Linked DNA regions of Danio rerio. The protein of the gene in region 2 interacts with the protein of the main gene of each other region in a biochemical or structural test. Links are inferred from orthologs where the notes say so. Each region holds a gene or a part of one and is shown on either strand. Other genes may lie near its edges.

Evidence for each region.
Region 1: the proteins of rbx1 (region 2) and ddb2 form a complex in vitro, tested with the Homo sapiens proteins (2 studies listed by BioGRID, with this or other methods). The link is inferred for Danio rerio from reciprocal best matches to the Homo sapiens genes RBX1 and DDB2.
Region 3: the proteins of rbx1 (region 2) and ube2g1a form a complex in vitro, tested with the Homo sapiens proteins (8 studies listed by BioGRID). The link is inferred for Danio rerio from reciprocal best matches to the Homo sapiens genes RBX1 and UBE2G1.
Region 4: the proteins of rbx1 (region 2) and ube2f form a complex in vitro, tested with the Homo sapiens proteins (2 studies listed by BioGRID). The link is inferred for Danio rerio from reciprocal best matches to the Homo sapiens genes RBX1 and UBE2F.

The regions. Positions count from the first base shown.
Region 1 is NC_133193.1:21,857,500-21,865,122, reverse strand, and holds part of ddb2 (DNA damage-binding protein 2), read right to left. Parts: intron 7,381-7,623; coding exon 7,189-7,380; intron 4,711-7,188; exon of another isoform or gene 4,571-4,710; coding exon of another isoform or gene 4,565-4,570; intron 3,506-4,564; coding exon 3,339-3,505; intron 3,047-3,338; coding exon 2,947-3,046; intron 986-2,946; coding exon 808-985; intron 712-807; coding exon of another isoform or gene 694-711; coding exon 566-693; intron 485-565; coding exon 329-484; intron 1-328.
Region 2 is NC_133178.1:23,847,252-23,855,573, forward strand, and holds the start of rbx1 (E3 ubiquitin-protein ligase RBX1), read right to left. Parts: upstream 4,102-8,322; 5' UTR 4,067-4,101; coding exon 3,989-4,066; intron 2,476-3,988; coding exon 2,397-2,475; intron 1,559-2,396; coding exon 1,488-1,558; intron 1,402-1,487; coding exon 1,316-1,401; intron 1-1,315. Other genes in the region: chadla (chondroadherin-like protein), read right to left, coding at 6,232-6,577, 7,540-7,706, 7,809-8,322. UniProt on the Homo sapiens protein: E3 ubiquitin ligase component of multiple cullin-RING-based E3 ubiquitin-protein ligase (CRLs) complexes which mediate the ubiquitination and subsequent proteasomal degradation of target proteins, including proteins involved in cell cycle progression, signal transduction, transcription and transcription-coupled nucleotide excision repair.
Region 3 is NC_133180.1:31,601,120-31,609,214, reverse strand, and holds the start of ube2g1a (ubiquitin-conjugating enzyme E2 G1a), read right to left. Parts: upstream 4,553-8,095; 5' UTR 4,435-4,552; coding exon 4,389-4,434; exon of another isoform or gene 3,863-4,388; intron 3,791-3,862; exon of another isoform or gene 781-3,790; coding exon 678-780; intron 270-677; coding exon 172-269; intron 1-171. UniProt on the Homo sapiens protein: Accepts ubiquitin from the E1 complex and catalyzes its covalent attachment to other proteins. In vitro catalyzes 'Lys-48'-, as well as 'Lys-63'-linked polyubiquitination. May be involved in degradation of muscle-specific proteins.
Region 4 is NC_133176.1:8,068,487-8,076,109, reverse strand, and holds the end of ube2f (NEDD8-conjugating enzyme UBE2F), read right to left. Parts: coding exon 7,574-7,623; intron 5,362-7,573; coding exon 5,329-5,361; intron 5,240-5,328; coding exon 5,177-5,239; intron 3,900-5,176; coding exon 3,849-3,899; 3' UTR 2,440-3,848; downstream 1-2,439. UniProt on the Homo sapiens protein: Accepts the ubiquitin-like protein NEDD8 from the UBA3-NAE1 E1 complex and catalyzes its covalent attachment to other proteins. Together with the E3 ubiquitin ligase RNF7/RBX2, specifically neddylates cullin-5 (CUL5).

The DNA.
Region 1 (7,623 bases), on a different chromosome or scaffold from region 2:
TTAGGTTTACTAGGCAGGTTAGGGTAATTAGGAAAGTTATTGTAAATTGAAAATGTAAAAAATGTATAGCTTAAAGGGGCTAATAATTTTGACCTTAAAATTGCTTTAAAAAAATTAAAATGCATTTATTCTAGTCAAAATAAAACTTTCTTCAGAAGAAAAAATATTATCAGACATACTGTGAACATTTCCTGGCTCTGTTAAACATCATTTGGCAAATTTATTATTATATTAATTTCAACCATTAAACAATTACATTAAAGATTCCAACATTTGAGTGGTAGCATGGTATAGTATAAATAGTTAAAAAAAACAACAGCATGCTTACAGATATGATACCAGCTGCATTGGGGTCTCTCAGCTGGTGCACAAGTCCACCACTGTTGGCATCATAAATGTCAATAGTTCTTTTATCATTGAGTAATAGTTGATCATCTGGGTAACGGCCAGCCACAATGAGGTCATACATGGGATGCCAGGTTGCCTGAAAAAATAGAAAAATGGAGCAAAGTATAACCATGATGTCAGCAGTCCTGTAAAGAAAGAAATGCATTAAATTTCTAACCTTGATGGGAGTCAAGTGCTGAAACTGCCGATGAGGATGAATAATTATTTGATCCGGTTTAGACCAGTCGTATGAACTGTACACCCTGATCTCATTCCTCTGATCAGTAGTAAGCAACTTGGTGCTGTCTGTCGGGTTGAAGTATGCTGACAAAAATAGTTCATTTGAATGTATTAGTATTTAAAGCTACTGTACAGGTGACTTTCTCCTTTCCTCACTTTTCTGATAATATGGTCCCTTACCAGCATTGACTGGTTTTTCATGAGGCATCTCAGCGATGTAACTGTTTTTGTCTTTAATATTCCGGAGGTCCCACAGCTTGACTGTAGCATCAACAGAGGATGTTGCCATCAGCCAATCACAGCGAGGGTTGAATTCGGCATGGGTCACTTTGGCTTTGTGCAGCTTCTCTTTGAAAATCTAAATATATTTTTGGGCAAAAAAATTAAAATAATTGAAAAATATAAATCAACTCTCAACAGCTGTGTTTCCCAACCCTGTTCCTTAAGGCACACCAAAAGTACCCATTTTAACCTCTTTCTAATCAAACACACCTGAATCAACTCATCAGAACATTAGAAGAGACTCCAAAACCTGAGGTTAATGGGTCAGATAAGGGAGACATCCAAAATATGTACTGTTGGTGGGCCTCCAGGAACAGGGTAGGGAAACACTGCTCTACACAATAGTAATAAAAACCTTAAAATGTCCCTGTCCCCCCATAAACATGAAACAATATAAATAATCAAATAAATAAGAGCACAAAGAATTATCTTAATAAATAACGTGCATGTTGCCATTAAAAGTAACAATAGTTTATCTTTACAACCAAAAATCTTATCAGGGATATTTAGAAAAATAGAATAATTTGATGACATATTAAGACTTTTATGGATCCAAAATACTAAGTTACAGCATCAAAATACTAATTTCATTTGCATTTTAAATATTTTATTTTGCCACCATCCTATAAATTATTAGGCCTTGTACAAAATGTATTTTAGTATAACATCTTCAGGCCATGTCAGATCACACAATTTTTATCTTCGGATATTATAGTTACTATGTCAGATTATGTGATAATTTTTCTTGATAAAATCTTGACTTGTGGTGGGTGACCAGACTACATGTTCCTTCATGATCAGTCATTCCTTGTTGTCTACATTGAGCGTTTTGTCTAAAAGCAGTCACAAGTGTGTCTATAACTATTTTTCTTTTAATCTCAATTTCAATGTTTTTATTTCAATCTCAATAAACATTGAAGATTGCTGACAACTAATAACTACATTATTTGAGGGCATTCGTTATGACATGGATAGGATCAATCTTATAATTAATTTTTACTATGAAGATATTTTCTTTAAAATCTAAAATGTATATTTTCCTGCCAGGGTTGCTTATACAACACACCCTCGCCTGAGGTTTCTGCGAGTGAGACAGAAAAAAGGAAAGCACATCAGCTGCAAGGAAAAATCAGATGCTCAAGAAATAATCTTTAAAATAATGACCAATTTAAAAATTAGCAAATATATGAGGTTTGTCATACAACATTATTACAAGCATTCATTAAATCCTTTTTTTCCAAAGAGCAAACCCAATCCTCCACCCATATAGTTGAGTAATGGAGGGGCACAAACAAACATATAATGTATATATTTTTTATGGAAAAATTATCTTTTTGAAACAAATTTAATTTGCTAGAATTTTTATCTTAATTTCAATGTAATGTATGTTTTGTTGGTTAGTTATCTAGAAACAAGAATAACCAATAACATTTGAGGTGAAGTGCTTTGAAACAAGTCTATTATATGTGCCAAAACACGTATTGACTGCAGCACTCGCTGTTATAATTTATATATATGTTATATAATTATGCACTCCTATTGCACAGTGTCACGCACGTGACGGAACACACCGTGAAGAATGCAGAAAAAAAATGAAACATGCTAGACTTTCTGCAATGGTGTCGTGAGGTGTTGCAGGCATGGTATTGGTTGTAATGAACTGTGCCACGTTACATGAGAAAAAACAATTGAATCTTGTATCACGACGCAACACCCTACGTCAAGGAAATCGTGACAAATTCTGTGAATGTGACTGCGGTTTTATTCTCACTCACTCACTCACTTTCCTTTGGCATATTCCCTTTTTTTATCAGAAGTTGCCACAGCAGAATGATACACCAATTACTCTTGCACATTTATTTTTAAATATATATGTTACCCTAAATCCCAATGTAATTATTTCACCGGTATTTTGACATTTTTTTATCATATACTACACTTGCTTTTAGTATGCTTTCTGTGTATACAAAATACAAATCAATTTTGTAAATTTTATTTGACGTGGAATCCAAAATGGGACGTCTCGTTTTTGTTTACCTCATGACCATCCAGGCCAAGAAGGAGAAGTCTTCCAGTACTGTCCCCAGTAGCAAGCATCTGACGGCTAACAGACACATCCACACAGCAGTACCAGTAACTAGGAGAGTGAAATGCGTGGCATTAAAACAGTATACACATAATTACATAGAATCCTATTTATACCTAATAATATATGGCAGTTGAGGTGAAAAGGTAGAAAAATATTTTCAAAGTAGCAAAAAAAAGAGACTTTTTCTGATGTAAACATCGCAAACAATCTCAGTCCAGAAAACCAACCTATCCTACATGCAGTTATTCCCTCAGAACAGCTACAAGAAATACGTAGACACCACCACAAATGTCACACAGCTGAAATATTTACAACACATTCACACAAGCATCATCCTCACCAAAGATCATGGTGGTCATGGCCACAGTCTGGGGTACGAGACAATATCTGACTTTGGAGGCCCTCAAAACTCTGCACGCTGACTGTGCCATCACCGGAAGCCACAAAGACTTTAGATGAATCTCTGGGGCAGAACTTCATACCCCCAATAAAGTCACCTGCTCCCTTCTGGATGGACACAACAGACAAAAACACGCTCATTAAATGTGCCAAACTCAAAATGGCTGTGACGATGCTGGACTCAATAGGCAATGATGACAGTGGGTTGAACGATGATGACAATGCAACTAAACCAACACAACAACATAAAGAAGAAGGTTCATGTTAACCTTCAAATATACATTTTACTAGTGGTCAACAATGATATTGAGCATATTATCTCAACAAACAAACATTACCTTAACATAAAAGCAACAAAATTATGACAAATCAAGACACTGACACTGAACACTGTCATGTACAGTATAGCTAAAAGCTAAACAAAAAAAAAAACAAAAACAAAAAAACAAAGCTATGATTTCGTCCTCTGATCTATCACAGCGTTTATCCAACTTCATACCAATCAGAAGAACAACACACAAATACATATAGTACTCACTTGATATTTGAAATGAAACTACCAACGAAAACAGCCTAAGCTGGGTTTTGCCAGTCTGAGTGGCCATTGCGATATACGAGTGTACACGGGGAATAAAACATTTTAAGGTTAATCCACTTTCAATCACATCCAGTGGTAGATAAAAACACATCCTGGATTGCTCTTGTAGTGTAAACTGTGTACCAATTCTTGTGGTGTAATGTGGTCCAACGTGTTCAATCAGCGACAAAATAGTAATTCTTAAACTAGATGCTGTGTTACTAAAGCACAACCCATGCTGTAAATCAGCTAAAGAAACAGAAATGCCCGATAAAATAACAGATTATTGAATTTGATTAAAGAAAACTGCCAGTTTTTGGTACTGCAAATCTTTTTTAAACTAACTAGGGCATAAGTCTAAAACTCGATTCCTGGAGGGCTGCCACTATGCACAGTTTTCTCTGACCCTAATCAAACACAGCTGACGCAACTAATTAAGATGTTCAAGACTACTAGAGACTATTAAGCAGGTGTGAGTTGGTGATGGTTGGAGCTAAACTGTGCAGAGCTGCGGCGCTCCAGGAATTGAGTTTGAGACCATTGGACTAGGGGGAGAACGGCCTTAACTGCTATAACAGGAATTCGCTTACTCCCATGAATCTGTTTTGGCAAAGACTTGTATAACGGATCCACTGAAATCCCGAAGGGTAGTAGCACCCCAAATAGAGGAGACGAACAGCTGATTGGTATTGAACTGGTTAAACTTCATGCCTGTTATTGCATCTCCAGGACCCATCTAGATGAAGAGCAGAGGAGAAAATCTCAAGTCACTAAAACTGCATTTTTTAAAAGTTTTTCTGTATTTGTGTGCTAATCTGAAAATGTTGAACTTTACTTTTACTTCTGAAGATGTTTAAATGGCTAGGTTGCCTTAATGCCGTTTCAATACCCTGAGACCTTTGTTCATTTTCTGAACATTACTACTATCTACTGAACACAAATTATGATATATTAGATAACATACGAGATCCCCTTTGTTCTGCATGGATATCAATGGTCATGTGATGTTCAAGTATAAGTAAATGACCAAAAACCTTGTCAAGACACTCCATGTAACTTCAGTGGTGATGTAAACATATGAAGCTTCGAGAACTCTTTTGTGCACCAAAAAAAGGTCAAAACTATTATGTTTTGCCAATGTCTTCCACATCAAGTCAGAAAATCTCGAGACTGTTGCTGTCTATGGAAGGTTAGAGAGCTCTCGGATTTCAACTAAAATATAAATTAGTGTTCTGAAGATGAACAAAAGTCTCAGAGGATCGGAGCACTATAAGTGTAAGTAATTATTACCAGAATTAAAAACAGAACTCTTAAAGAGTATATAACTAACCATAAGACTATTAAGTACATTAATCTGAAAAGGAAACAAACATAAACTTAAAATGAATTAGCTTCGAATAGACCCCAGTGTCTATAGTAGGGGTGCCCAAACTCGATCCTGAAGGGCCGGTGTCCTGCAAAGTTTAGTTTTAATTCCAATCAGACATACCAGGTCTAGCTAATCAAGCTCTTACAAAAAATTGTGTCCGAAATCGTATACTTCCACACTATATAGTACACTAAAACAGTATGCAAGCCAAGTAGTATGTCTGATATCATAGAATTTAATAAACAGTATGCGAGAAGTACCCAGATGACCTACTACTTCCGCCGGCTGGAAGTGCGATATGCACATTAATATAGCAGCCTTTTTTATGACACTGTGTGACAATAATTAATATCTGTACAGTACTGTGACGGTTGGGTTTAGGATTGGGGTAGACCTTAATAAAATACAATAAATGGGAAATTTAATAAATAATATAAACAATTCTTGTTAACTTCTGGCGGCAACTATATCCGATCTAGCAACAACCGCTTTAGATAGACGCTACGATATTCCATGATACACCACAAGAGAATTTATGAATGGAAGCGACGCAACTGACACAGGTAGGTCACATGATGATGACAAAGGCCACACTGACACTGTCAGGTCTTGATGCCCAATTTTGATTTGTTGCCGATATCTGATTTTTTTGCCTGTCCGTAGCCAATTCATATGTTTACACTTGCCATACAATTTACGCTGTTGGCACGCGTAAAGGCGGGTTCTAGCATCTGTGCCACACTAGCCATGATGGAAGAAGTTGTCTTGCTTTCAGCTCAGCGAAATATGCAAAGTTCGCCCAACTTTAATATGATTTTAAGGCGGAGGAAGAGAAGGAGGGAAAGAGCTGTCATTACATGCTTGCGCCTATGGTTTATATATGGTGTCCTCCACCATTCAGAGGGATCTGTGGCTACGACAGAGATCTCATGTCTGGTGGGAGCAAATTGTGGCGGGCTTTAATGAGGAGTGGCGGGTCTGAAATTTTAGGATGAGCACACACGCTCTTCCTTCTATGTCATTAAACCGCAGAGAAGTACAACATTGTCAGAATTTTAATGACGTACATAACGAAATGCCGCAATAAATCCAATCTGCTTCTTTACATGATAGTCGCATTGCCACATATCTGATTTACAGTATGTTAGTTTTATTTTCACATATGATGGAGGCCTGAAACTGATATCCGAATATCTGAATGCATTCATTTACACCAGGGGTCACCAATCTCGGTCCTGGAGGGCCGGTGTCCCTGCAGGGTTTAGCTTCAACTTGCCTCAACACACCTGCCTGGATGTTTTAAGTATACCTAGTAAGACCTTGATTAGCTTGTTCAGGTGTGTTTGATTACGGTTGGAGCTAAAATCTGTAGGGCACCAGCCCTCCAGAAACAAGTTTGGTGACCACTGGTTTACACGGTCATAGAACAGTATTTGGGTCACATTTAACTGGCAGTGTAAACGTGGTCAAAATGTCGAATGTAGTACATCCGAGTTTTATTCATATTAGTGACATTCATAGTGTATAGAACATACTTTTCTAACGGCCGAGTAGTTCATTTAAAGTCAAATGCAGTACCTACTAAGTAGCAGGCAATTATAGACACAGCCAAGCTTTCTAGAAACGTCCATGCAGATCTGCTGAGACAAGTTGGAGCTAAAATTTGCAGGACACCAGCCCTCCTGGACCAAGCCTGGGCACCCCAGGTCTATTGAATTTGAAAACTGATGTGACACTTAAAAATGAAGGTTATGTATACTTTACACAAATTATATATACCGTCTAGTGTCTAAATGTCTTGGTTAGATTTGAACAATACATTCGTCACTTTTCAATTCATCTCACCCCTTGTATGAAAGAGGTTTTATTCAGCACATCATAATCCCACAGGATGATGTCTCCACCCTTTGATCCCACTGCAACGGTGGTGGGATGTGTGGGATGCCATTCCAGACTAGTGACCCTCCTGTCAAAGGGACTGGCAGTTCGGTGCAGCTTGTAAGATTTAAGTGAGCGTATGAAAGGCTCTTGCAGACACTGTAACACAAGAAACAATGTTTTATACGACCAGGTTCAGATATAAATAGGAGTTTGTGGCAAATATGTCACCAAAATGAACAAATGCCAAAGTTAAGACAAGAAGGGGGAAATTATGTTTTTTACTGTATAGTTGAAATACATATGCTGCATAATTCTGCAGTCATGTACTAAGCTTCTTTAAAAATGTATGATTTTCATACAACATTAAATCATTATTTAATATGGGTGGCGATATCTAAC
Region 2 (8,322 bases):
TAAATGTAGAGAAATACTTCATTAGCCATTCATTAAGACATTAGAAAGCAATGCAAATGGTGTACACCCCACATCTAGTGAATATGGAGCAATTTCAGACACGGCTCCTGTCTTAATGGAATAGTTCATGCAAAAATGAAAATGTGTTATCCTCTACTTTTAGCCCCGTTTGAGTTTCTTTTTTCCGCTGAAAACAAAAGAAGCTTTACTGATAAATGTTGGTGGAAAGCAGCCATTGACTTCCATAGTGTTTTTTATTTTATTTTTGTTCATACTATAGATGTAAATGCTTGTTTTTTCCCCTAAATTCTTCAGATTATCTTGTTTGTATCGAGAAGAAGAAAGAAAAACTAATTTAAGTGTAGAACCACTTGAGTGTGGGGAAACAGAGGAAATTTTAAATCAGTGAGAAAGTTTATCAGGCCCACTGTTCATTCACTGTTTGGGCAGTTGGCCAGAGCTGCACTCCAATTTGGGCTTTAGGTTTTGTTTTGCATCCATGCACTAGCGCTGACAACAATCATTCACTTGCTTTTCACACTGATTGAACATACAGATACTGCTGTTTTGATTTGTTATTTACAATTGTGTTAGGATAAATATTATTTTGGACTTTATTTCACTGTGTCGTCTCCCCTAATGCTACATCTTTGAGCCAAGTGTAACAAAGCAGCTGATAGGTTTAGAAATCTGTGCTAATGAATGGATCATTGCATCACTTAAATGATTCATTCAAAAATAGATTCATTCAGGAATGAAACTAAACTGTTTAGTTTGTTTTAAATATTGTCTGCTGTGGTACAGGAAATAAAGTACAATACTGCATCTAAAATATAGCTGACTCATTAACTTACATTACATATTCAAATCTTCTGACTCTACAATGGAAGATTGGAAGAACAATGCTTTAAATCTATTTTTTATGTTTTGTGCCAAGTAGCTGTATAATAAGTGGAATAAAGTACAACCAGGCAGGCATCATCACAGAATAAAGCCTTTAATCCACAAAGAATGTTGGGCTTGATTCTGTGATAACCGTCTGGATGTACTTTATCCCTTACATCATAGGTCTCCAACTCAATTCCTGGAGGGATTCCACAGATTTGCTCCAACCATAATCAAACACAGCTGATCCATATAATTAAGGTTCAAGACTACTCTTGAACACTTTCATTAGTTGGATTAGCTGTGTTTAAATAGGGTTGGAGCAAAACTGTGCAGAGCTGCGGCTCTCCAGGAATTGAGTTTGAGACCTATCCCTTACACGAAGCTTGTGAATTTGACTTGATTTGAATGAAGAATCAAAAAGACTTACTTCTGAAACTCCCACTCTCTGTTGTCCAGTGGACACACTTGTCTGGTCTTCAGCCAGCGGGAGATGCAGTGGAAATGAAAAGCGTGCTGCAGACACACACAAAAACAAACACACCAGCATTACACCAGCACCAAACAAACCCAGAGCTCAAAGTGTGTGTGATTATACTCACATTGCAGACTCCCCAGGCCACCGTACACTCCTCTGAGGTGGCAGACGCCTGATTGGCCTGACACTCAATACCTGAAGCAAACACAAGAGTTACAGATCAGCTACAGCTCATCTAGACCAGTGGTTCCCACAGTGGGGGTTAAACTTTGACACCTTTACAGCTTTCACATACATTAAAAATAATACAGGCTACAACAGAACATGGAGCAAGCTCTCACAGTGGCAATCTCTAAAATTAAACAATGAATAGATTTGGGCCTACTGGTATGTGTGCAAGGTTTAAATATTCATCACCACCTTAGAGAATATTGGGGGGTCGTGAGTAGGCATGGGCCAGTATAAGATTCTGACGGTATGATTACCTCGGAAATAAATTTCACAGTATCACAGTATTGAGTACCTCACAGTATTGAGTATTTCACAGTATCACAGTATTGAGATAACTGCTCTAAAATATAATCTTTTTAAATATCTGGGTACAAAACAAAACCCTTTTCCCCTTTGTACACACTATATGTAAATTTGGGAAACATATAAAATGTTTTGGAGAAGTAAACATGTCAGGCTAAATAATTCTAATGAATTATTGACTTCTGCTGTCTTCATTTGTTTTAAAAAAATCTGATTATTTTTACAATTTAAAAATGGCATCTTTGGATATCTTTTCTGGAGATACTACTGTCCTAAAAATAAAAAGTAAAAAAAAGATCGAACTCATACCTTAGGAACGGTATAGGAGAAAATTTTGAAGGCTTTAAAACCTTGACCTTTCCAAACCTTGATATACATTGAACACGGTTTTCATCCCACGGCTAGGCGCGAGTCACTGGCATTGTTATTTTGGGGGTCGTGGGCTGAAAACACCTGATCTAGACTAAACCTAAAAGACTAAAGCAGCTGTTATACTTACAGAGGTCCATAATGTGATTTCTGCAGATGGCACAGTTGTCCACTACAATGTCCCATGCCCACAGAGCCACAGCGTTCCACTGCAAGACAAGCAGAGTTTATAATCATAATCTTTATTAAAAATGCTAACAGCACCTTTTCTCTTAATGACACATGTACAGACACAAACTAAGCCTAAATATCCTCCACCAATGAGCAGCGCTTCCACTCAGTTATACATCATAATGAGGAAGAAAAGAAGCCAGCAGCCATAACATTTGTAAAGGAACATAGTGAAAATAAGTTGTGAAAACAGTATGCGAGTACAGTATGAAAACTTATTTTAAAAACATTTTTTAAAAAGTATATCTAAATTCAAACCGTTCACGGTGATCGTTTTGAATCCAGATTACAAATTGGTAATCTGGAAACCAACTACAATATTCCACAAAAAATATACATTCAGAAAGGGTTTATGATGCCTGAAACTGTTGGAATTGAACATTGAGAATGAGCTTGCAACGCCTCACACTGTTGGAAACAAATATTTGAAACAAGTTTGCAATACTAGAAACTGTTAAAAATCAAGCATTTGGAGGGTGTTTTCAATGGCTGACATTGTTGAAATCAATATGAAAATGAAATGGAGTAACATTAGGTATAATATCTGTCTATAACACAGGTGTCAAACTCCAAAAGGGTCAAGTTCCAAAAGGGCCGCAGCTCTGCACAGTTTAGTTCCAACCCTAATTAAACACACCTGATCAAACTAATAGAGTCCTTCAGGCTTGTTTGAAACCTACAGGTAAGTGTGTTGGAGCAGGGTTGGAACTAAACTGTGCAGGGCTGCGGCCCTCCAGGAATTGAGTTTGACACCCCTGGTCTATAACATTCAAACATGTCCGTACCTAGCTTTTAAAAAGGATGCACACAAGTCAAAATTTACTTAAGTAATAAGTATAACATAATTTATTGTACATTGTATACACTTATAGAATGTTCAATTCCGTGTGTAATATGTGAAATTCACTAAAATGTTTGCATCGAACTTTGAGGGGGGTAAATGTGTTTAAATGGAATGTTCGGAATGTCACTATGGTGACTAAAAGTGATGGAAACGAACGTTGGGAACATGTAAATGACGTCTACCGATAATCGAATAGAGCGTTCGGAATGCGTCTATGAACCTCAAACGGTTAGAATCGAATGTGCTGTAAGCGGCTGCAGTGTCCACAAATCTTGCCTAAAAAACTCGCCAAGGTCTGGGAATGATCAGCGCTGTATTTCGTTCTTTAGTGGCCTACTTCAATAATCTCTGGGATTACGCTGCAGAATTTATCGGAGTTCAAATAAGAAGCACATTGGGCGAGCATGTAACATATTTTTGCTTGACATTAGCTTGTACTCATTTTTGTGACACTTTATGAGGTTTTTGTAAACATGAAAAGCATAGAGGCCGGTGATTAAAATGATGATGTGAAAGAGCAGCGCGGCTAATGCTAACTGGGTTTAACACACCGCGGTGAAAGAGTGTTATTTTAATTTTAAAGAGACTAAACGGATGTGAACAAACAGTTGACAGCAATCATTAACGTGAACTTCACAATTACTTACCTTTTTCACTTCAAATCGCTTTTTACTGGCTCCGCTGTTAGCTCCACTTGGGGTGTCCACATCCATCGCGGCCGCCATGTTTGCTAATGTCTGATGATCTCGCGAGAAAGAGTGAGAGTGAACAGCTACTCGGTTTATAATCTTTTACATGTAAACGTGTGAATTAAAGCAATTGTGTATACTATGATGTTTTTAATATCATTCATATATTTTTTTTTATTCCAGTTTAATCAGACACAATCTAGTCCAAATTACAGTCGAGTTAAAAGATTAGGTTCCACCGAGATTTGAACTCGGATCGCTGGATTCAGAGTCCAGAGTGCTAACCATTACACCATGGAACCTGTTGGAAGCTAAGGCCCACTGTTTCCAGATTTGTACCATCTACAATACCCTACCACTATTATAAACTACATTGTCGGAATCCTGCATATTATATAATTATGACCGTGTTCAACATACATCAAATCAGTGCAGTGCAAGTGCAGAGCTTTGAAATGATACAGGAGATTACATGTTACCAGGATTTACAGATAACATTAAATGCCATCTATATATTTTTTTATTTCACATATTCATATTTGCTTTTTTTTGACAAGTTTTGCGAACAGCTACCATGTAGACTTATGTAAACTATACACAATTCGTAGTTTTTCCACTATTTTACACATTTGTTTACATATAAAGTGACGTTACTGGAATGCTCAACCGACTTAACATGTAATATCATACAGTTAAGTGCGTGACAAATATATATATATATATATATATATATATATATATATATATATATATATATATATATATATATATATATATATATATATATACATATACATATACATACTAACACACACACAAACACACACACACACAAAAGCATATAACGTTACACAAGTATTTTCAGAGGCCCCAAAACACTATTGTTGTGTGGATGCATTAAAATTGCACAAATTTTGATTCAACAAAGATTCAACCAAAGAATTACCTGTAAACAAATCTGCAGAGCTACTACCACATAGTAGCTAGCTAATAATTGTATTGTTTAAACAAAAAAACACACATGTACGACTACTTAATCCTAACAATATAGTCATCAATATGTATATATTTATCGTTATCTCTTAGTGTGGGCAAGCCAGCATAAGCAGTTAAAGCATTTAAAGACAATAGTTACTTAAGAAAAAATATGATCTACAGACTTCACACAGCCTCCATTTTAAAAGCGAAAGAGAGTCTGCAGTGGAAATAAACCTGGAAGTAACGCCTGGAGTCACACAGGAACGGCATCCAAGATGGCGTATTGTTGTGTACCTGGATTTATATCTTATCAGTGAACACAAATTTATAATTTCACCACTTTCCGAGTGACCCGAAGGTCCTTTCTGAATGCATGGTGAAAATAAAAAGGCATATCGGACCTTATTTTCCCCTAAGTTAAGGGAAATGGCACTAGTTAGCAAATGTTTTCTTTCCACCAGTGCTTAACAGAAATGACTGTGATTGGTCGTAAAGGTCATCAGTTCACTGCACTTCACCAATGTTTACAGAATGCAAACGCAGACAAGCGATCTGCTGATGACTTGACTGAACTTTAAAACGCTCCAGTGTCCGTGTATCTGTGTTTGCACTTGTGAAGAGAGGTAAACTGATGACAATCACCGCCGATAACAGTAATTTCACCGCAGATCAGCGGAGTTTAAAAACGTGCTCAACGGCGCTTAAATGCTAGCATGTTAAATGTTAGTTTTTTAAATTTCAGTACCGGGACAACAATATTACTGACAACACAATGGTGTGCTAGAGAGGACTGCATTGTTTTATCGCTCACCGGGTTACATTGGCTGAAGCAGGTAAGCGTCCCCGCAGTGTTTACCTGGTTCCATAAACTGAAGCCTAGTAAGACACTTAAGCGTATAACTTTAAAAGAGATTGTGGTTTTGTTTGAGGCCTAATGTGCTTTTTTTTGTTAAATTAAACTTAACTGAATGTTTACTCCACATCTACACTTTGAAATCGTGGAAACAGCAAGAGGTTTGTACTCCACAGCATGTTGTGGAGTACATGTTTAACGTGCTGATCCTATTCCTCTGGGTTTCTTCCCACCGCAGCCTCGCTTTCGCTTTCATTTTTAAAAAATGGGGGCATATGGACTCGTGCACTGGATTACCCGTAAACAAATCAGCAGCACTACTACCCCTTAGTATGATATCTATATCGTTTAAATCAAGAAATCCTATTGCTCATATCATTGGCAACTTCATTTTTGGTCGTCTTCTTTTTTTCTTGTTTGGCCTGGTCATTTTCAGAGCTCGCTCTGGTTTGAATTCTTTAGATTTGGTTTTCTTTGGTGTCGCAGCTATCTTTGTCTTTGCCAGTTTCAGTTTAGCATAAGATGGTTCTGTGGGCTGTGTGGGGTTGGGTATGTTGGGTTCATGGGCTTTGGTTGGGATGGAGGTCTCATTAAAGGAATGAGCATTTTCTATAGAGCAGTTCTTATAGATGGCAGACTCCATTACAGACTGACCTCGAAGCTCGGAGGGGTAAAAGCACACCGCCTCAACCCTCAGACTCATCTTCTCCAACCATCTGAAAGAAAGTTGAGATACATGCTTACATGCCTAAGTACTTAGTGATGAATGTTTATTTTGAAAGGCTTATTTACCTACTACTGATAATTACAGAAAATTCAAGATTACAAAATCAAACAATATAAAAAAACAGATAAAACAGGGCTATTTGACTGTGTTAATTGAATAGGAAACATATAAACATTAGTTTTATGTCTATTTTTTTTGCTATGGTAGGAACGAAATTGTCGCCACATATTCCTACAGTAAGAAAGTATAGTGGGTTTAAACAGGTCAACCTTTAACAGCAGATTTATTTCACCATCAACTCACAGTAACCTAAATATGATTTTATCATCGGTTCCAGACACTTAAGCCCCAAGGATATCCAATTCATTGCTCATTTTGAATCAAATTGAAATTTCAATTAATCATTAAATTAAGTTAAATTGAGTTTTACTCTGATTTAATCATCTAAATCAGTGAACCTTTAACTAGAAACAATCACTGTATTCTATTTGGAAGGTATGATCCTTAAGCCCTAATCTCTTTCAAGGGTTTACACTCCAGACAAAAATCTTTGATGGCATTCTGGTATAGGGATGAAGACACCGGCCCTCTATGACCGAGTTTGGACACTCCTGCTCTAGAGGAATTTTTATTCAGATTTGCATTCTGGTATAGGGATGAGCTAGAATAAAAGGAATACCATGTGCGACAGCAATCAACTTCCCTGCGCAAAGGATGGGGTCCCAAAGTGGCCATTGGTTGTGCCATTCAATTTTGAGCACTTTATTTTGGAATGGCAATTTAATATGGCTGCCATTATTGTTTTCTCTCCCAAGTGTCCTTTGGAGTGTGATAGATCCCGTTTGGAATGCACCATCACTCTGACCTGATCATTTAAATCACTGAATCATGAATGTACCACTACATCTCAAAAGATAAACAGAGAGACAGATAGACTGACGCACAGATTACCTGTAAAATGGTAGCAATTTGCAGTCACACATTAGTGGATTTTTGTTGAGACTGAGGTTTTGAAGTCCAGCAAGAGGTGAAAGGTCAGGCAACTCCTCCAACAGATTGTCTTCCAGAGACAAAGACAGCAGACGAGGACCAAACCCTGCCAGAGACCTCACACTCATCTGTTACCACCAACCAAAGAAAGACAAATAGCTTAGTCTAGTATAAACACAAGAAAGGCAAAGATTTGCTGTTATTACTTCAAAACAGGGCATCTCCTCTACCTTTTGAAGACCCATTCTATCAATGAGCAGGTTCTTTAGACTTTCAGCCACCACGCGAAATGCTCTGGGACCGATCCAGCGAATCAGATTCCCAGAGAGGTGGAGCTCAGTCAAAAGAGGGGCGTGGTCTAATGCATCACTTGGCACATCCGTTAACACATTATCTTCAAGATGAAGAACGTCCAACTTGGGAGCAGGATCCAGAGCTTTCGGCACTATAGTAGCGATGGAGTTGTTATTGAGGTAGAGTCCTGTAAGCTGAAGGACTGGAGAAAGAAGTCCTGAAGGCTCTAGTTTAGCTATGAGGTTTCTCTCCAGATGCAGCTCCAGGAGTTTGGGAATGTGAGTCAGAGTTGCTGATGAAGGAAAATGAGTGAGTTTATTGTCTTCCAGGTGAAGGTACATGATCTCATGGGCACCTTCAAAGACTTTTGCGTCCAGAGAGGACAGCTGGTTGTCGGACAGGTAGAGGTATATCAGGTTCTTCATGCCCTGGAAAGCTCCACCTTCGATC
Region 3 (8,095 bases), on a different chromosome or scaffold from region 2:
TGATTTTTTTTGGAAATCTGCAACCCATCCCTCCAACCAACTAAAAAAAAAAAAACACAAAAAATTGTGTATTTATTCAACGATATTAAATGTATGGCTGACAAAATAGTAAAAAAGTATAAATAATTAAAATATATTAAATATTTAAAAGACCCTAGGAGGCAAACTTACCATTTGGATGCCATATTTCTGTAATGAACTTCATTTTAGGAGGCCTGAGAGGATAGTCTTTGGGAAATGTAAGATGGGCTTTAAAGACACCACCCTCACTGTAAACAGAAAAATATAAAAGGCTTATAATACTGTGATTGAACAACCTTTAAATGAAAGGCAACAGCTTAAATTGATTCAGTATGGCATCACAACAAATACATAAACTTATTCAGTTAATTTCCCATTGCATCATGACTTAATACTACAACTGCACTGCTACCTGCCTGATACACTGTGTATTACCATGTAATAAAGCTTTGGCGCATTGTAGATTGTATAAGATCAAGAAATAAACTTGACCTGACCCATCTTAGATTGTGAGAATACCTATACTGTAGCTCTACACAAGTAAATAATGTCAATTTACATTTTGCATCATCTAATTCTTTAGCTGATTGATAATAATTTAATTTTGGTGAGGTGTCACACAACATAACATTTTATAAAACAACAAAAAGACTTACTAGAGTGTATCAGGAGGACCAATTATTAGTACTTCCCATCTGTAGAGGTCATTATCATCTATCAAACCGGCTGAGAAACCTTCCACAGGATTTTTATTCAGTTCTGTCAGGAAGAGACATCAAGGTACAAATTAGCCACTTTGTACAGAAAAGTGTTATAGATGTGACATTTGCAGTAAAAACGTAAAACAAATTCACAGAGAAAGTATGAGTTAATATTATATTGAAACATCGGTTTATATTTTACAAAACAACCAACCACAGTGTCATGGGCTCAGAAAATATCAATCTGTAAACATATTTTAAATGAGGAAAATAAACATGAGGTTTATGAATGTGATCATACTTTTGGCTATTTTGGTGAAAACTTTGGTTGACAATTGCATGGAACTACTCAAAGGGCAAATTGGGGCATTTCAGGGCAGTAGGTGCATACATGCCTTCACATGAGTTCTGATAGTTAGACCTACATCTGGGCAACATTTCAGACAAGAAATGACCAATTTGCCTGTCTGTTATCAGATCAGCTGAGCGACTCTTTAGTCACAGAACGCCTGTCTGTTTGTTCAGATACTCTGAACTTCTGTGTGTTTGCAAGAAGGAGCACAACAGAATATCTGGAGGTTGACTGCATGACCACCTTGTAGTCATAAACAAGATGACAGTTGGGTTATCCAGTCATATGGATGTGTCATTTTTGCACATGAATCACTAAGACAGTCTGGCATTCATATGAAGAGTCTCTTCTGTCAAAGCCACCTTTTTACCACTATCTGATGGTTATTAAATGACTCAATTGTATTTTCAACAAACCTACTTCCAATATAAGAGTGCTGAAGTGTTATTATAGCAACACTAGGGCTGGGCCAATAAACTGTATTATATCAAATTGCGATGAAGTTTGTGTCAATAACAATGATAAGCTTTGGACTTTTTACTCTATATTGATCTAAGAGCCAATCACACAACAGAAATGTGCAACAACGAGAATCTAAAAGTGTGTTGATGTTAGAGATGTCCCAAAATTTTCTGCCACTGAAAAAGTATCGGCTGAAAATATGCTATGCCATTTAATAGACCCTCTAATTTTTGTGGCTTCAGTCATTGCTGGAATACTCTTTTAAATCTGGAAGCATTAACAACTGGTATCGCAATATACATCGTTATCATTCAATATGCAAAATAATTATCAAGATTGCAGTTTTGCCATATCGACCAGCCCTAAGCAACAATCACACAAATAGCATAAAGGGCTGTTCAAACCAAGAATGGATGACAGCCACTACTAGAAAGGTTTACCAACCCTTCAAATTCAATTAGAAGAGAGATGTCCACACAGCAGATTTAACAATAACACCACAGATATACAATATCATTGGAATCACTTTCAGAGAATTTCCTGTCAATGTATGTTAAAAAGCTTGACAGGCAAAGAAAACCCACAAGTTACAAAAGCATGCGCATAAAGTGACATAACAGTAGTGCTTTTAATAACAGAACATTATCTGAAGGCAAAAAAATACATAATTTATTTACTATCCTGCAGTCCATTCAACCAGTGTATGACTGACTTTCTTCAGCCAAGGTTTTGGGGAAAAGGAAACAACTCTTCATCTAATGCTAGTGAACAGGGTTCAACTAAACCATTTGGTAGTTGTATTAAATTTTCAGGAAAAATGCAGTGAGCGTTATTTAAAAAAAAAAAAAGAAACAGAAAAGATATTAACTTACTTAATCAAATTTATTTTTAAATATTTAGAAATTAAACACAAATTTTTCTCTAGAAAAGCCAACCTCTCTCCCAGGACAAAAAGTAAACAAAAAGATGAAACAGTATGCAAAGATAGAACAGTAAATCAAATGACCTTAACTTTCTGTAAACAAGTTCAACTTAAGTTAGCGAGATAGTGTAGCGTACTATACAAACAATAATAATAAATAATAAAAAAAAAACACTCAGCAAACTAACATGTCTGAAACAACTCTGCAGTTGTACTATGCTGTTGCTTGCTACTAAATTGAGTGTCCCTGGCAATACTTTCAATTGACTTTTTAGCAAGACACTCATCACTCAATTGTGCTCACTAATTTGTCTAGTAAGACTGTCACAAAAACGCAGTCACGCGTTTGCTCTGGACGGGAAATAAATGAATTAAAAATATACAAATATATCTTCATATTACAGCCTCTTGTGATTAGCTAATCGCAACATTTCAAATGGTGACTGCAATTAGATTTCGATTAATCACACGGCTCTAGTAGACGCTGCAATGTTTTTACCCAAAACCTTAATTTTTTTTCAACTTAAAGTCTCAAAACATGTTTAATAGCTTGGGGTGGGTAAAAAATTAAAGGTAATTTTTGAGTGATTTCTAAAAAAAACCTCTCTACACATGGCATTAACATCACACAAGTTGTGCCCGCATTTTCCTGGCCCGTATCTTTTACGGGCCAACATTAATGAACGTTGTGAGGCTTTTGTTCTCACGAAGGGTTCACTGAGTTTAGATCAAGGCTGATGAGTTCACCATGCTGGTTCTTCTGAAAGGAGACAACCAAAACAGCCCCTGACCCCCTGAATCAGTCAATCAAGCGCAGGGCCTCTGCAGAACCTGACGCCATGACAGGCCCGGGGTGCCGCTCACCCTGCGACCCTTGGAAAGAAACAAGCGAGTTGCTTTTATGTGTGTGTAAGATGAGTAATTTGGGGGGATGGGGTTGCTTGAGCTGTCTGTGGCAAAGAGACAGCTGTCATGTAGCAGATCTGTTGTTTTGCTTTTTAATTGATCTCATCAGACCCCCAAACTCAGGTAATCTGCCTAGTTTGACCCCTATAACTAACTCACTTCACTGGCTGCACTGCGCAAATGGGGCCCAGTGGAGAAATCCTCCTCTGGTTGAGCTCAGTAAAGCTGACACTCGCGGATCATATTGCTCAGTGTGTGTGTGCTGGGCATAGAACAATAGGAAACACTCATAACGACTCTAATAAGAGCCAATTTCCCGCACAGGTCTATGGTGACAGAGACTATGGGTCTCCAGTTCTCGCTGTACCGGTGAGCTGGTGATCAAACAGCAGCCATCAATTTGTTAGCTTTAGCCTGCTAGCCAGCCTAGAAAAACAAAGGGATTTGATCAACCCGATGCGGGGTAATGGCACACAATATACGGCTTATAAATCTCACCTTTAAACCGTGCGATAATACTATTGGTTTGACGGACAACGATAAGACAGTGAGCAGAAATTGGACCAATGACAGACTTTTCCTCCATTTATAAGATGACTGGTTCTCTTGCGGAAACTGCGTCCGGACACAGATGTCAAAACACGGGGGTAGCCGATCGAGAGCGGCCCCGCCGGTGTGATACGGAAAAAAGTGACTGACACTTATGTTGACATGAATAAACCGAATAACACTAAACAAACGTGCGCGTATTGTTGTTTTAATTATGTTAGAAAAACTCTCATGTTGATATTTTAGCAAGAGTAGTACAAAACTAGCATTTTAAAATAACAAAAGACGACGGGGCTTGCCTTTAGCCGGCTATTTTAGCTGCTAACATGCTAACTAATGCTGTATGATAAACACAGCGCTTGTTAGCGGCTAAACTAGCGGCTAACGGCTAAAATGCTCCGTCTCGGGTGTACTGGCTGGCTAAAACGTTCACCGGTTTGTTAGCCTGCCTTCGCCAACAGCCTTCAAATATTACCTGCTAGCTGTCTCCTGAGTAACAGTGCTGACTGGGGCTCCGTCATGTTTTTATAAGTTATATTCTAGGTCGACAGACGTTCACCTCGACAAGGAGAAAAAATATGTTTGAATTTGCTTGCGCGTCTTCCCGTCTCTGTTCTAGTCCGTTTTGCTCAACATTCTGATGCGGTATGCGCATGCGCTCTGCTCTCCGCGAGGCCGCGGCGAGAGTGTGCTCCAGGGTACTTATGGGCGGAGGATTCGCGCATGTCAGAAACAAATATGCTTGTTTTTTAACAAACGGCGATGGCATTGACTGCGAGATTAATTATGTTATCACTTTAGTGACGTTGTAGGTGAGTCTAATCAATTGTCTCGTTATAGCGAAAATCTGTAATCATACATTTATTATTGCTTTTTCTTTTCGCAAGTGCCATTTTTATTAGAGAAAATTGATTGTTGAGGACAGTACAGTGTCATTCAACCACTAGGAGACAGTACAGCGTAATAATAAAAGTCAAAATGTGTGATAGAGGCGATCCTTATGAGAATCATCCACTTACACACAGCTCTCATAACCGTTCATGACACTTTAACGTCTTGGTTGTGTATTTCTTACTAGCGTGATAAAAACATTTTATTTGAAAACATTTTTTTTCGAAAGACGTCTCTTTTGCTCATCAGGACAAAAGTAAAATAAAAATAAAAACTTTGAAATGCAGTTTTTAGTTAAAACAACTTCTCAATTTGACTTTCAAACAAAAGTCAATTGACTAATTCAAAGTCAATGCAGAAATGTCTGCTGTTATTACTTGTTTCCAGTGTTGCATTATCTTTCAGGGATCAATCTGATAGGCTGATTTGCTGCTGAATATATTTTTTTTCTGATTGTTATCAATGTTCATTTATTTTTATGGAAACAGTCGTATATTAAGAGTACAAGAGTAAGAGCACAATTCAAATCATTTTCACAGATACATTAAATTAATTACATGTGACAGTAAATATATTTAGGTTTCAAAACATTATACTTCAGTTCAATTGTGTGTGTGTGTGTGTGTGTGTGTGTGTATGTGTGTGTGTTTTTTTTTTAAGTTAAAATATCCACTAAAATTAGCAGAAACATTTAGTTCTGAACTGATAAAATGAGAACCAGTAGTAATGATTGAAGACCAAAATAATTCAAGAAGACTGGAGTGACAATGTTTCGAATTACAGAAATAAATACAATTTCTTACATTTTACATCAATTACATTATCAATGAACAGCAAAGACTTTCAAAAACCCTGACAAATCATAATATCCCCAAATATCTGACCTGCAGTGTACATCTTGTCAGAGAAACTGCACAATAAAGACCTTAAACATGATTTTTTTTGTCTTATTTAGTCTTTACTGTGGTTGAATACCGCTGTACTTTCAATGACAACAACTTTCAACTAAATATAAATGGCTTGCAAATGATATTATGTTCTGAATAGTGACTCTAATTTAATTTCAGTTTATTATGTGTCTAACTTCTTGTTTATTTAATCAAAATCCATAAACTTTGTTATTATGGCAACCCACATCAAATAATAATTTATAGTGCATGCAACAACACACATGCAAAACATTTAATCATTATTTGAAATACACGAAAGACATGATGACAGGTCAGTGGTTTTAGGTAAAAATTTTACATATTGTGTATATGTAGATTCATTCATTCATTCATTCATTCATTCATTCATTCATTCATTCATTCATTCATTCATTCGTTCGTTCGTTCATTTATTCATTCATTCATTCATTCATTTTCCTTCAGCTTAGTCCCATTATCCATCAGCAGAATGAACCGCCAACTTGCGGATGCTCTTCAAGCTGCAAATTAGTCCTGGGAAATATCCATTCACACAGATACACCACGGCCAATTTAGCTTCTTCAATTCACGTACACGCCTTAGGACTGTGAGGGAAACTGAAGCACTTGGAGGAAACCCATGCCAACACAGGTAGAACATGCAAACTCCACACAGAAATGCCCACTGACCCAGTCGGGACTCAAACCAGCAAGTTTGCTGTGAGGTGACAGTGCTAACCACTAAGCCATCGTGTCGCCCATTTTACATACTGTAAAATATATTTTACGTGTGCTACAATGAATGACTGTTTGTTTTAGAGAAGTGGTTCGGCAGAGAATTTCACAAGAATGGCAACATTTGCATCATAATGGAAGCACCACAGTTTCGCCAAGTTTCTCATTTAAATTAAAAAGCAACCATGAGAAAAATAAATAAATTGAAAACTGTAGAGTGGGAAGTACTGCAGCACACCCGATTATAGCTTGGAATGATCAATCTACTACATAAAAAGCCATAAACTTTACAGAGTTTATCAGACAACACAAGATTAGGTTTCCATTTGAGAAAGTTCCCTCACGGGTGTGGATTTTCCAGCAGCTCTGTCTGCAAGACCTTTGTCCTGGTGTTCAGAACATTAGCCTGAAACATAATGCCAAACACCCTGGCAAAACTGGGTAACAGATCGATGCAAAGCAGAAAGCATGATGTGAGTGCATAGATGAAAATCTACGGGTTTGTGGTGTATAATGCAACAAGGAGGAACTGTTCATCTGCATGTGACCAGAGGAAAGGGGGCGGGGCTTGATTCTAACTTGATAACCCTGCAGCGTGCTGTACTCACACAGGAATGCATTTCTGTTGTGACATCTCAACGAACACAGAAAAAAGACAGAAAGTGAGAGAAGAAAGACAGACAACAGAAAAGATGGATTAGAAGAGACATTGGAGCACATAAGCTGAAGCGTAAGTCATTTTACATTTACATTATGAAAATAGTCGAGGTGTTATGATGCAAAAAATGAATCAGTCTCATTGTCAAGTCTGCTTCATTCCAAATTGAGTCAAAAGCTGAACAAATATATGGCATTGTCCTGCTGTGGTCATACTCTGATAAACATCACAACAGTGGCATTGTTGGTAGTCCGCTGAGGATCTCAGACCTGAACTGAACCCTGAAGTCTGATGAAAAATAAAAGCTTTCTTCATAATTTGATATGAGTGAGTAAAACACATGTATATGAGTTCAGTTTAAAGAGTCAGTCAGTGGGTAAGACATTTTAAAGTAAAGTGCTCTTCCTGTGTTAATATAGGGTCATCATAGGTCTAAAATAACACCAGTTTGTGGGTTAGGATGGAAACGAGACAGCTTGCTGGGTGCAACCAGCAAGATCACAACCATCTTCAAGATAACAAGTTCCGGTCTACATTCCATTCTCATAAACTGTAGGTGTCTTGTAGTGTAAATCCCCCTCCCCCGAAAGACAATTATGATTAAAAGGCATCATTTGCCTTGAATTTGCTACCAGGAAATGTGCACACTGCCAAGTAGCTGCATCTACTGTATATCCGCAGTCATGTTTTTACAGCAACTATAACATAGACGCTTTTTATAATTTTTTAATAGCATGTCAGGACCAGACCTTTTTTGGTATTTCTGCATGGAATTTCGTGGAAAAGATCTGTGGATTTATGCAGATAGATTTTGAGAGCATAGGAGCTGAAAAACTAACAAATAAAAATATAAATTTTTAAAAATGTTTTAAAATGAGGTTCTCCTGCTCATCAAGGCTGTACTTTTTCATCAAAAATACAGTACGAACTGTAAGATTGTGAAACGTTATGGCACTATAAAATAACTGTTGAAAAGTAGTTATTATTAAT
Region 4 (7,623 bases), on a different chromosome or scaffold from region 2:
AGCTTATGAAATTTGTAGCTGTGGTTCTGTTCAGAACTTCCAGAACGCCTATCTACACGTGTAAAAACTAGAGGAAAAAATACGGAACTATTTTTGAGACTATAGCGCCATCTGCTGCAAAGAAAAAGACTAACACAATGGTCGTGTCCAAAACCTTTGTTCTGAATCACATATTAATGCAATAAGATAAGAAAGTCCAAACTCGGTCCTGGAGAGTTTATGTTACATAGGGGGGATCTTCTACATTTACAGATGTTTTGCATTGAAGAGTCAGTGTGGAATCTTATTTTGTGTTACAAATAAGAAAGGGGATGAAACATTAGCACATGTAGGTAAATAAAATACTTATTGCAATTTTTGGGTGAACTGACTCTTGGATACTATTGGATAGTATGTGTATTTCATCTTGTAATGTATAATAGCAGGGCACGTATTCAAACACAACCTACCTAGACTGCACTATGGGCACAACATTGTGCATTACATTATGCCAATAATTCCATCTAGTAAGTTCACCAGGTTTTGAGACAAGTAAAAAAAAAAATAATAATAATAATAATAAAAGACAGAAAAAGCTTTAATTAAGAGATGTCCAAACTAGGGCCCACAGGTAAAAGTTTTATTTGGAACATTCCAACCGAGAAGAAAAAGAGAATGATGGGGAGAATGCCTTTATCAGAGATCATCATTTCGAATTCAACATAACCTTTTTGGCTTGTTTGTTTTACTGTTGGGTTGAGGTACAAAAAAAGCAAACTTAAACGTTTCAATTAAATGTTGAAAATGAATCAGATTTTTTTCTTTAAAGAAACAGTCTCTCGACAGATAGAGGACAACTCAAAAAACATCACAAGAAAAATCAATGCAAAAGCTGGACTTGTGTATTGTGTAAGAATTGTCGACTGTAATAAATTACACACACACACACACACACACACACACACACACATATATATATATAAATTATTATTATTATTTTTAATTATACTGCATTAGTTTATATAAAGCAATGTTTTCTAGTTTGTTTTTAAATATTAGAAAAAATAAAGTAGTAAATTACTCATGGCAACTCTATTACAGTGTGCTATATTTACCTTCTGCCCACAGCCATCACTGAAGTTTGGATTTTGGCCTTTCATAAGGAAAAGTTTGGGCACCCCTGTTTTAATTAGTCACTATGTGATATTTACTTGCCAACATAGGCATATGAGCTGCCTAACACTTTTGTGCATCATTTGCAAATTAGCTTTTTTAGTGCACAAAAAATGTGTTTTTTAGGAAGCTCGCTAAATCGAGACACTGCCAGTGCTAATGGACGAAGGTCTACATATACATTTCCAATCACAGTGTTAGCAAACCAGTTTTGTCATTATAGACAAACTCACATTAATGCTTGAAAATGCGGTCTAGGTAGTAAACTCACTCAATTTTTGAGACAAAACCATTGATAAAATACGCTTAAAGCTTATGAGAACAAATTAAATGCAACTCACTCCATTTGAGACAAAGCCATTGATAAATACACGTAAATATTCTGACAGGGGGGTCAAACAGCTGCCCTGCACAGTTTAGTTCCAACACTCCTTCAACACGTACCTGTAGGTTTCAAACGAGCCTATATGACTTAATTAGTTTGAACAGGTGTGATTAATTAGGGTTGGAACTGTAGCTGCGTTGGTGCGTCCAAATTCGCAGTCTATCCATCCTAAATAGTATTAGAAACTAGAATTAGTATGTCCAAAACTATAGTATGTTGAAAAGGGTATAAAGGTTTCTGGATGGTTTACTATTTTCGGTAAAATCTCTTAAGGTGTACACGCGCCTACACTCTAATATTGCCCACAAAACTACAAACGGGGGGTAAAAAAGTGTAAACAAACTACCAACATGGCGGACGCGCGAGACCAACCATCAAGTAGAGGCTTCAGTAAAGTTGTTTAAAAATGACTATTAATTAATATTTAGCCAACTGCAACATGTTTAAATCGCGTTTTCCTAGTTATATTTAATCTACAACAACAATGTGAACTTATATCAAGATATGTTTGGACATTAACTTCTCAATGCATATCATTACCTAAAAAACATGAGATTTCCCTGCATGAAGACCCATAAATGGCGGATTATCCTGCTGCTGTTTCTCCAATACGGAAGGTATTAAATATCTAAGAAATGTGGATGATGCGTCGAGATGATAACTAAGCAACATAACAACAAAGTAGCTTGCATACTCCTCTGTTACACACTCAAAAGTATATACTTTTCCTTTACAAAACAAGTACACACTTTTGGGTAGTAGGTTAATATAAGTATGTGAATTGGGACCTTGCATGTGAAAAGCTGCGGCCCTCCAGAAACCGAATTTGACATGTGGCTTATGAAAACAAATTATAAACGCAAGCTGTAAAAGTGTACACACAAATTACTCCAAATCTCCTTTTAGTGGTAGAACTCCTCTTTAATATATTTTACAAATGGATATACACCTCCAAGGAGAAAAAAAGTCAAATTAAATAAAATAAATCCTCACTAATTGAACAGGCTTTATGGCTGAGCGGTTCAGTAGCCCAGTGCATGCTACCAGATCAGACATGTTTTAAAATCTCCAGTCACTCCCGCTCAAACACCCACACACACACACACACATACTCTCACTGTCACACAAACACAATACTAGCATACAAGTAATCTCGTGAACATGCACACATCGGTAAAGCTGAACGTGTATACACTGACAAAAAATGCATACAAGAGCAAAAGGTGAATCTCATGAAGCCAGTTCAGAACACATCCAGGTAATATTTCACCCCAAAATCTAAAGTAATATGCGGTGATAAGAATGTTAACAATTAAGCATAATTTTCCCCAAAATTTGCATTGCTCTAATGCAGAGAAAAATATATATATATTTATTATAGTTGAATTTGGGGGAAAGCATGCTTGGTTTCTCATTTAAACGAAAACAAATTTTAATTTAAAGGAAAATATATTTATTTGATTTTCCTCTTCGATTTCGAGGTGAAAATGGAAGCTGAACGTTCATGAGAATCACCCACAAACTTCTCACAGATTAGAACTGAACTAAAACAGTTTGGTAACTCAGAGGCACCCACAGATATTGTGATATTTGCATGTGTGCACATGTGATAGAGTAGTCTGATAACGGCGGTGACTTTACATGACGGAACGTGCCGAGTTTCAAGAAATGGCTTTACAGAATCCGTCCGAAAAACCACCGATATTTTCTGCTTGACATCAGTGCTGTATGTTTTTTTTTTTTTCTTCTTCTTTTTTCTGATTCCTCATTGGTGGACTCCTCCCCCACAGCAAACAAACAAATGAACCAATGGAGCTTTGGGATTTCTATGACATCACTTATGAACAAATTAATCTCAGTGTTTGTCAAGTTTTAAGAGGAAGCAGGCTGCAAAAGTTGGCTCATGATGTCCAGTTATATGTGGCAAAAACACAGAGGCACTATAGAATATAGGAGGTGACATCAGAGAGGCTGCGCGGCCTTGTTTTCATGATCACCATCTTTGTACGTTTTTTTTTTTTTTTTTACTTTTCTTTTTCGTGGGGGAGTAAAAGCAAAGTTGTTTGAGAAGATCTTTCAAAAATAACACCAAAATAATAATAATAAGCCATCAAAAATAGACAGTACGGCCCTGATCCTTCCCAAATATCTTGAGAAGTGACTCGCAGTGTCATTCAACACTTATTTTAACTTGCTTCTTCCCCCCCCTCCCCGAAGAATGTTTTAATAATGAGATTTTGCCTCGGTTGCAGTCTTGATCGACGTACATCGGTCACATGCATGTGAGAGTGGCTCGCGTGGCAGACACACATCATCTTGCATAGTTTTTGATGAAGTCCTGAACTTTGTTCCTGAAATCCTCCTAAAACAGAAAGCATTAAAGAATTTTCTGTACATGTGTATCTGATTAAAAAGAGATGGGAGGTATGATTATGTATAATACATACAGTTGAAGTCAGAATTATTAGTCCCCCTAAATATATTTTTCCCTAATTTCTCTTTAAGATTTTTTTTCAACACATTTCTAAACATGATAGTTTTAATAACTTATTTCTAATAACTGGTTTATTTTATCTTTGCGATGATGACAGTACATCATATTTGACTAGATATTTTTAAAAATACTAGTATTCAGCTTAATGTGACATTTAAAGGCTTAACTATGTTAATTAGGCAGGCTAGGGTAATTAGGCAAATCATTGTATAATGTTGGTTTGTAATGTAGACAATCTAAAAAAAAAAATATTGCTCAAGGCAAGGCAAGTTTATTTATATAGCACATTTCATACACAGTGGCAATTCAAAGTGCTTTACATAAACAGGAATAAAAAAGACAAGTTTAGGACATAAAATGCAGACAATAAAAATGATTAAAAACAGATAAAAACAATTTAAAATGTGTTAAAATAGGCTATAAAAGAATGAAAAAGAAAACGAAAAACATAATTGTGCTATCTGTCGGACGTAGCACAGTGCTCATACAGTAAAGCAATATCTAAGTGTGAACTCTTGAAAAGAAACAAGAATACAAAAACAAAAACAACAAAGAATAAAAGTGATTGAAAACAGATAAAAACAGATTGAAATATGTTAAAACAGGTTAAAAAGGAATGAGAAAAAAGAAAGACGTAATAGTATGATCTTTCAGATGAAGCACAGTGCTCATTTAGTAAAGGCACAGCTAAACAGATGTGTTTTCAGTCTTGATTTGAACATGCCTAATGTTGGTGCACATCTGATCATTTCTGGAAGCTGATTCCAGCAGCGAGGGGCATAGTGGCTGCAGGCAGATTCACCCTGCTTTGACTGCTTTGACTTTTGGAATTTCTAGTTTATATGATCCTAAAGATCTGAGTGATCTGTTGGGTTTGTATTCAGTAAGCTAATATTATTGGCCCTCAAAATGTTTTTACATTTACTTTTATTCCAGCTGAAATAATATTTTACAGAAGAAACATATTATAGGACATACTGTGAAAAAAATCCTTGCTCTGTTCAACATAATTTGTAAAATATTTGAAAAAGAAATTCAGGAGTTGAATAATTTTTAATGTATATGCAATATCCGCATTATTTAGTTTTTTTCATAGCAGTTATGCTTTTAAAGGAAGCATGTTTTAATATGTGTTGGTGTTTTACCTTATCTCGTAAATGATGCTCTGCTGCATCTATATTCAGTGGGTCATCAAAGTTAAGAAGATCCTGTGAGAGAAATTGAAACTTCTATTGCTTGTTTTTTTTTTTTACACAGAATGATGACATAAACATTATTATCTAAAATCTGTACTTACAGTGAAGAGTGAATTCAGTCCCCATACTACATCCTACAGACACAAAAAACAGCTCTAGTCATACTCTCAATACTCCATCCAGATTTAACACAAAATCCATGACTTTTTTTTACTAACAGTTGATTTTTTTCTTGGTTAATGGAAACCCCATGATTCGCATACATTTTGAAAATGTGCATAAAAAACTTATGAGCACAACTGAGTAGGATAAACGTTTTATTCGATAAGAAAAGATGCGCATAAACTACAATGGAAACAAATTTCAGTGTGTGCATTAAAAAAGGTCAGGTGATTTTGTGATAAGAGATCATGTGATGATGCAAATGTGTGTAAATGGACAAACCATCTGAAATGTTGATTTGGTCATTCTAAACCCCCTTACTGTTAATATAGTATTCTGTTATTATTATTGACCTCCAGAGTCAAGAGCATCTGTGCTCTGCATCTGATAATGTCAAACGCCACCGTGTGTTCACTGTGTGTCAGGATTGCCTTCTGAGGCGCAAGTCATTTATTCGATGAAGATTGACGCAGCTTCTCCTAAGCAAATTGTGTTTTTACTGTTGATATTTGGCACCAGTTAATCAGGAAGTGAGGATTTTGTTCGCTTTGACTTGTTGGATGGAAAAACTGCTTTATTCGCACGTCTTTTATGCGATAATCCAGTTTTGCGCATAAAGTTCATTCACATTTTTGGATCGAAACATAGCTACAGTGACACAAGTTTAACAAACATGAATTCATATTGAGTAACTGGTCCCACTTTATATTAAGTGGCCTTAACTAATATGTACTTACATAGGATATAATAATTTGTTACAATGTACTTATTGTGTAAATACATGTGTTTACTGTGTACTTATGCTTGATTAAATACATGTCTGTAATTACATCTGTAATTAACTTTTGTAATTACATTTGTAAATACACTGTTAACCATACCTTACACCTTAACCCACCCTTAAACCTACCCATGCCCCCAAACCTGTCCATAACCCAACCTCTATCCCAACTCAAAAGCACCACAAGTGCTCTCAAATACATTATAAACACAGTAAGTACTTTATATTTATTTTTTAATGTAAGTACATAGTAGTTAGGGACACTTAATATAAAGTGGGACCGAGTAACTCACATTTAAGACAATTTTTAGTTTTTGTTTTGGCAACAAAAATAATTCCAAACAAAGCTAAAGCAGAAAACTTCTAGAGCAAATTAATATGGTTTTGATTAAGGGTGCTTTCACACTTGTGAATCGATTCAGTTGTTCTTGCCCTTTGCTCTTGGAGCGGTTCGCTTTCACACTGCAAAGTTTCTAATCGGACCAAAAGAGCTAAAACAAGTCACGTGCGAGTAAACTCTCCTTACATTGGTCAGAGTGTCAGGGTTTATTTTGCAGCATCCCTCTCAGCTGTCAGGAGAGGTGGTGGTTTGGTGGTCATTGACAGGGTGCGCGCGACGTGTCTGAAGAGAGACGCGGTGGGGAGGGGTGAGAAGGGTGCGCGACGATGCCTATTTGGGGACCGGGAGGGAGACGCAAGATTACCGGGAGATCATCACTTGTTTGCGGGCATCCGGAGACTCGCGAAACTTCCCGCCCTACTCATAATTCTCTCTTCATATATAGCCGTATATGCCTATTACATATCCATAAAACAGAGTGATATAACCGCGCTCGGATCGGATCGCTTTCTCACTGCAATCGAACCGCTCCAGGGTTCGTTTCAATCGAGCCGAGACCACCTCATTCAAGCGATTTCGGAGCGATTACTTTGGCGCGGAACAGAGCGCGATTGCCCTGTTCACATATGCCAAACGAACCGCGCTAACTGGGCAAACGAGATACGTTCCGAAACAAAAGTGTAGGTGTGAAAGCACCCTAAGTTGATGGTCCAATGATCCACTCAATAAGAGTCTGTTGCTTCAGTTCAAAATGGATCATTTGAAAGAATGACAACGATCCCTCATTAAAACAGACTTGCTTCCACCTAGGGGTGATATTAGTGCCTTATTTATTCATGGAAGTTCTAAACCAGACCTGGAGTGCCAGCGCAAAAGAACACTCAGTAAAATGACATTTTAAAAATGCCAGTTTATGGAGATCGTCTGTGTCAGAATCATACTTCCTTATTAAAACCCAAATGTTTAGTTATTGAAAGAAAGAAAGAAAGAAAGAAAGAAAGAAAGAAAGAAAGAAAACAAACATACAAATAAATTCCCCAAGAAGACATAAAAAAAAAAAGACCTTTAGAGTACGAGTGGGTGCCCATCCAGTACCATCAATTGAATGCTCTC